Linked DNA regions of Drosophila melanogaster. The protein of the gene in region 1 purifies or fractionates together with the protein of each later gene. This does not show direct contact. Each region holds a gene or a part of one and is shown on either strand. Other genes may lie near its edges.

The links.
Region 2: the proteins of baz (region 1) and par-6 purify together in Drosophila melanogaster (affinity purification with western blotting; 7 studies listed by BioGRID). This does not show direct contact.

The regions. Positions count from the first base shown.
Region 1 is NC_004354.4:17,158,276-17,161,875, forward strand, and holds the start of baz (bazooka), read left to right. Parts: upstream 1-1,730; 5' UTR 1,731-2,796; coding exon of another isoform or gene 2,797-2,916; intron 2,917-3,600. Other genes in the region: xmas, read right to left, coding at 1-831, 896-939.
Region 2 is NC_004354.4:17,701,360-17,705,139, reverse strand, and holds the start of par-6 (par-6), read right to left. Parts: upstream 1,789-3,780; 5' UTR 1,490-1,788; coding exon 1,415-1,489; intron 769-1,414; coding exon 540-768; intron 473-539; coding exon 1-472. Other genes in the region: CG8188 (uncharacterized protein), read left to right, coding at 2,931-2,939, 3,364-3,780.

The DNA of each region.
Region 1 (3,600 bases):
TGGAACCAATCGCCCATATGGCTTTGCGGATCCTGGCGCTCGCTAATGTCCATGATCTCATGCATTAGATAGCTCATGGTCATGTGCAGGGCAGTCTCATTGCGCAGTTCATGCGGCAGTGGCGTCTCCTGGTCGGCACTGCTGCGCGAGTACTGCTTCAGGGCTCTTTCGTGACAGATTAGCTCATCGGAGCCCGGTTGTAGTTCATAGTAGGCTACCTGGCGCTGGAATTCTCTCAGCACGCGCTCCTTTTCCGGACACATATCGGCGCAGTGACCCTGGGTGGCACCGGACAGCTTGTGTTGCGTTCGGTTCAACCGGAGCAGCTTATCGCGGGCATCCAGCACGCTGAACTTCTCCTCGCTTGTATGGGCGGGTCTGCGCATCATGTTCTCAAGATCCCTGAGCTGGGCAGGCGTACGATCTCTGCTCACCGGCGCCGTTGCGGGCCCAACTGGTATGGCAGGCAGCATTGAACTGCCACCGCTACCACTGCTGCCATTTTGTGGTTTTTTTATCGGCTTGCCCGACCCATACTCATTGCGCCAGCCCGACTGCAGTGCACTCAACTCCGCCTGAATGTCAGGATCCACCCACTCCTCCGTTTTCTGTGCCGGCGCCGTCTCGTTATCAGCATAGGATATATCAAACAGGTGACCCTGAAAGCTGGCGCCATCGAGAAGCGCCCGCGCCGCCTCGTCCTCGCTGGCATAGCTTACGGTGCAGGTCATTCGCCGCGGACGCAGGACGAAGTTTACGAGGGTTCCAAAACGTCCAAAGTGCGAACGCGCCACATATTTGTCCAAAAATAGCTCCGGAATGTTTCTGCATCTGGGGATTCGTATGGAACTATAGTTGACATCGCTCTGCCTTTGATGAACGAACTTTTACTCACAATAATGTCTTGTAGTTGTAGCCGCCGGGACGGGGTTCTGCCATCGATCGAATATAGTTTAAGGTTTTTAGTTTCTTTTTTAGCTGAATGAGAGCGAATGTGTGCTTTGTTGTTACAATATTGCCGTCAAGCGATTGCCGGTAATCGATAACGCAAATCTGAAAATGGCGCGAAAAAAATACCGCAATGGCTATCCCACCCACACAATATCGTTCAGGTTTAATTGAAAATTTTAATGTTTTACATTCGAGATGAATGTATTTGCCTAATAAATAAAATGTTAACAGGAGTTGGTAAACATATATTCTTAGGAAATTAGGAAATGCTTGGGGCGTTCCTTAAACTGTTGAATGAAATCGAACATCTTCTTATATTATCTTATATATATATGAATATATATATAGGTGTAGCAATCTTTTTAAGTTCTTTTTATTCTCTTTTAAGCTCTCGATTCAAACTCCTCGATCTTGATAACACTATCTGTCGTTCTTAGGACTATACAATTAATCCTATCGAAATTGGTTGTTCCTAGTATTTTATATTTATACATAGCTTACATAAGAAATATTTTCATCTTTACACTTTAATATTTTAAGACGATTAATTACCTCTTAATCAATATCTCTATTTAATAGGCTGACTTATATAAAGCAATGCAAATTCAATAAAACTTATTGCAGAATTAGATGGCATTTAGCCCAATCCCTGATTTTAAAATAAGCGGGAGATAACGAGCAGTAGTGTGACCGCCCAGTAAAGTATAACCAAATACCGCGAAGAAGCCAAGCTGCTGTTCCGATAGTATCGATGAGCCTGCCATCCCCAGAATTTTGGTCATTTGTTGTTGCTCGCCAGGGCGAATTCGAACTCGAAGCGCAGTAATCAACGCGCTGCTCGTGGATTTTTTTTGCATTTTTTTGAGTTCAAATAGTTCGTTAATAAGAGTGGCGGTCAACGATACTATTCCACTTGCAATCGAAATATGAATAGTTGAAAGTGATAAACAACAAGAAAGAAGCGACGCCAACGGGCGAAAAAGGAGATAACCGAAAACGAAAAACACGACAAAAGCAACGTTAAAAGAGAGTAACAGAAAAGATATAAAAACGATGATCGAACCGTAAATTTAAAACCATGCAATCTACAGCGCATAATATATAATAATTTGACCAAAACAAATGCCAAGTTTGCGAGCGAGAGCGAAGAACGTTAAAAAAAGAAGTAAATAAATGATCTTGGCCCGCTGTTTGTTGTTCTTGTTATTATGGTTGCCGTTGTTGTAACTCGTTTTTTTTAATGCGCGCGTGTATGAATCACACAAACACAACAAAACAAACAATAACAACGATGCCTTACGGTGAAATATGCTAAGTAAATAGCAAAAGAGAGTTCCAGTTTCCAGAGAGCGACAGAGAGGGAGAGCGCGCGAGAGCGACTACAAGTACATACTGGAAAGCGATCCCGATCCTTTTTCCAGGCACGCAGCCATCTCGCTCGCACCCATGCCGCCCTAGACCAACTTTTGTTGCAGCTGCCTAACAACCAACAATACAGCAACAACAAGCGCACTGTGCACGCGAAAGGAGCAACAAGGATGGCGATAGCTGGAAAGCGACGACGATGATGATGATGCGGTCGTAACAACAACAGCAACAAGAACAACAAAAAGCTGCTGCAGGCAGACGAGCATAGCGTTAAAAAAAAGTAGCTGCATACAAAATAGTAATAGGAAAAAATCCGAAAAATTCGAGAAAAAAATAAGTTAAAGAAACGATCGCCCAATTTAATCAAGTGCATATATGTGTGTGCAAAATAAAAAGTGCATTGCAGCAGTCAAAAATACATACTTATTATCGCAGATCGAAGACGATAATAGTTATTGTTAACACGAAAAGTACGAAATGAAGGTCACCGTCTGCTTCGGCGACGTTCGCATTCTGGTTCCCTGTGGTTCCGGCGAACTCCTCGTCCGCGATCTCGTCAAGGAGGCCACGCGACGCTACATCAAGGCGGCCGGCAAGGTAAGGGGATATACCTGATATATATGATATAGTATTATAAAGTATTACTTTACCCATCGATAGTAATTTTGATGGATAACACTTCTGGAGTTACGGGAGGTACTATGTAACTGATATAATAAATACATTAATTATAAAGAAGGTTATCTCAAAATATATTATATATACATACAAAGGACATTTACTTCATACATATGTATGACTTATAAAAATACCAATGGATTCCAATATTATACTAATTTTCTTTAATTGTATCATTATTATATTCATACAAAAAAAACCCAATTAACTTAGAATTCTAGACAATAATGTTAGGCCCAATATTATTTATGATTATATTAATGATATACATATAGACAACCGTTATCTCTCCCAATTCGTTTGAATATTTGCATTCAAAAGTATAAAAACTAATAGATATCGTAAAATACCCCGAAGCTCTCAAATATATATTATTATACACAGATAATGGTAGAAACTGGTAAAAAAAAATCAAATGGCTCTTATGGAATAAACAAATACAAATAAATAAAATGATATCTTTTCATGTAGAAATTAGTGCTCCTACATTTATTTATGTTGGTTACCAACCCATTTCAGAAAGTGCTGACAAAATATAATAAAATATTACCATTTTACTTATTACTTATTACTTCTCTGTGACATCCAGTTGAAATGTTGATA
Region 2 (3,780 bases), 540 kb from region 1:
GACGTCAGTGTGCGCTGATTGGCCGGCTTCACGGTGATTATCAGATTGGAGCTGTTGGCCACCATCATGTCGGTGACTTGATCCAGAGTCTTGCCAGCCACTTCGATGCCATTTACCTCGATCACCTCATCGTTGACGGCCAGCAGGCCAGTACTTTCGGCCAGACCGCCCGGAACCAAACGGGATATAAAAATGCCCGGCTGCTTCTCTAGCCCACTGGCCGTCACCCTGACAGAGGTGCCATCCCGTATGTAGAATCCCAGGGGCTTATCGCTGCCGTGCTTCAGTAGCCGCACTCTTCTATGCGTTTCCGGCACTATATCCACATCTATAATGGCCGAGACTTGACGGAAATCGTGCGGTATGGATATCGATGGCGCCTTTGTCTTCACTGGCGTATGGCCCATCAGTATGCTGCCGATGAGGTTTCTCGGTTTCATCGTTCCAAAGCCAGAGTACTCATTAAGATCATCTATAGAGTGAACGAAAAGATTGTGGTTGAGTGGCTCGTATTGTATCTTATGCATACCCATACTCACCCTTTCGCTGCACAATGACCCGTAAAAGTGGACGTGCTGTTTTCAGGGCCCGGCCGAAGTTATCGTCGTTGTTAATCGGCAACAGATCATTGTCCCGCGGATCGATGTAGAGTATGAGAAACTGGATGTTGGTCAGCTTGTGCAGCTGCTCAATGAGGGATGCGAATTTGTCGAAGCTCTGCTCCGCCTCATTTCGCTTGAAGCTCCACCTCCGAAACTCTGCATCGAACTAAAGGATACGTATTGATTAGTAAAGGGGCTGAATCTTTTGAAACCCGTATAGTTTGTTCATCAGCATCACCTGTTGATTCAATTGTATGCAGACATTTTACTAATTTAATGGGACCTTCACTGAATTGCAGTACATCTACTGCCTTATAGCTATTACTGGAGTTTATCTTGAAGAATTGTACCTTGACTAATTAATAACTGAAGTTTCCTTCTCTGTAAAATTACAGAAAATGAACGAAACAGGGTAGTTTTTGAGTAAGGCGCAACAGATTGGTTTTCAGGCAAAGAGCCCAAGCAATAAAGGGTGTTGCAACAATCCATATCAGAGCTCAGGAATTCCGACAAGTAAGATGCATTCGCAAGGGCAAATTGTCACTTTTGGGGTGCTTCTAAGATGGAAACCAGTTGCTCCTCACACCTCGCACTCCAAGCATTAATCCCTGCTCTGGCCGCTTTGACACAATCGAGCTCAACAGATAGGAGTTCCCAAATTGGTAGACACATTGCTCCTCAGACTAAAGACCCCCTTTCCACGCACAGAACTCCAATTTAAGCTATTAATCCCATTCCTGAGCGCATGAATCAGCAGCTCAGCGCCGCAGAAAGGGGCGTGGAATCCGGGGGCCACGAAAGTTAGGACTCACCTTCGATTTCACCTCGATTAGATTCGTGTCACTGGCCGCCGTTGCGGACGTTGTGTTTATCTTGTTCTTCGACATTTTCTCCGATCCGCCCGATCAAGAGTGCACTGACAGTTTTCCTCTCCGTTCCTCACACACAACACAAAACACGGCAGTTGAGTTCCGCAGATTCTGATCTGATCTTCAGGATCGAAATCGAACCGATACGCCCGATGCGAACCGAAACCGAACCAAAGTGCAGCGTACCGATGGCGGGGAGCGACGATAGTGGGGGGCCGCCAATAAATTAGAGTTAGAAATCTAAATTAAAACTAATTAAATAAAAAAAATGGATGGATGAACCTATCGGGCACTATCGTACTTCGATATTGGTAGGCACTATCGGTTATCGGATGGTAATAGATCCAGAGTGACCGTGGGGAATGCAAAACCAAAATATACCATTTCAGTTTTCTAAAATACCACAAATATGCTATAAGCAATAGATTTAAACAACAATGAAAGTATCTAAAAAGACTTAGAAATAATAATAATTTGTTTTCAATATAGCTAGCAAAGGTTTTGAATTTATCACAACAATAAGTTTTTTTTTTTAATAACGGTATGTTCTTTGTTTGTTTTTAAATATTTCCCAGAGTAACTTAGGCATGAACCGATGTTGTGCATATATCGATATATCGATAGAGTCTGAGCAGCCATGTTGCTGCGTTAGTGTAGAGACAGTTTGTTTGTGTGGGCTGGGTGGATCTTCAGATGCGCTACATTTGCAAAGTGGCTGCTGTTTGCACGAAAAAAGAGGCTTAACTGTTACAAGACAAGAATTAGCTATATTTAAATGCTCAGTTTTAATCAAAGACGTTTTTTAAATAAATAAATAAAAACCCGCTTTTAAATCGAAGGCAGGCAAGACGCCAGCACGAATATGCCCCAATTGTAGCGCAGCGCCAGCGACGAGGGTTACTGTAAAATGAAACTGTTTTTGTGTGTTGTTGTCGAGCGTGAAGTGTCCAATTAGACAACTGAATTTGTTTAGATGTGAACGCCAGAGTCGAGATAGGTCACACAGCAGCTACGACAAAGTTGAGCGAATCGATTTCAAAACAAAAGCAACCAACGAAACAAAATTTTAAGTCGCTAGAAAAACTAAAAATCAAGATTTTCGAGAGGAGGTGCTATACCAAATACATATATATATATAGTCTTTAAACGAGTGCGTGTGAAAACATAAACCCAAACAACAGACAAGGAGACTAGCGGGGCCAAAGGAAGCATAAGGAGTCTACACGCAAAGGAATAGTTAAAGCCAGCCCACAACGCACATATTCATATATTTTGGGACCACTTTTCCAAGGCAGCTGGGAAAAGGCGGTGAAATTGCGACTATCCGAGAGCCGAAGAGCTCAGCTGCAGGAATAAGCTGACGAAACTGAAACCTTGAGACAGCGATTCGCACGCACACCAGCGCAGGCCCGCATCAACACAGACACACACACGCACAGCAGCAGGAAATTCAGACATCATGAGTTCGGTAGGATGAGCATGTTCCTCACATAATTGTTAGCATTCTAATAATAATAATACGAAACGATTCTTAAGAAGTTGTATCCGTGATTGTAAAGAATCCTATCCAACAGATGCTTCTTAATCTTATGAATGGTTTAGTAGTGAGAGCTTAAAATCGCGTCCTTACAAATACTTTCCAGCATACTAAGAGTATGAATTTCATTAATAAATACCCTGTTTGTGGAGACATGTGATTTTGTTAGTTAAGTTTGTATGTAATAATCCTTGCCTACAAGTACTGTACTGTACTTGCCATCCATTTTTAAAGTTCGTATGTTCCAATAAGTACAATTCCAACTAGAAATAATGACTCAACCCTGTCATTAAAATCAATTTTTGTATATATAAACTTTTGCCATTCCATACTAATGCCATTCCCCCATTTGCAGCAATACTCGAATGTGGAGAACCTGTCGCCGCAGACGATAAGGCAGGTGATGAGGGAGCTGCAGGAGATGGAAACCACGCCACCGGAAGGCATCAAGGTGCTAATCAATGAGAGCGATGTGACGGATATTCAGGCATTGATCGATGGACCTGCTGGCACTCCGTACGCCGCTGGAATTTTCCGCGTCAAACTGACGCTGAACAAGGACTTCCCGCTGACGCCACCCAAGGCGTACTTCCTCACCAAGATCTTTCATCCGAATGTGGCCGCCAACGGGGAGATCTGTGTGAACACACTAAAGAAGGACTGGAAGCCGGATCTGGGCATCAAGCACATTCTGCTCACCATCAAATGCCTGCTTATTGTCCCGAATCCGGAATCGGCGCTGAACGAGGAGGCCGGCAAGATGCTGTTGGAA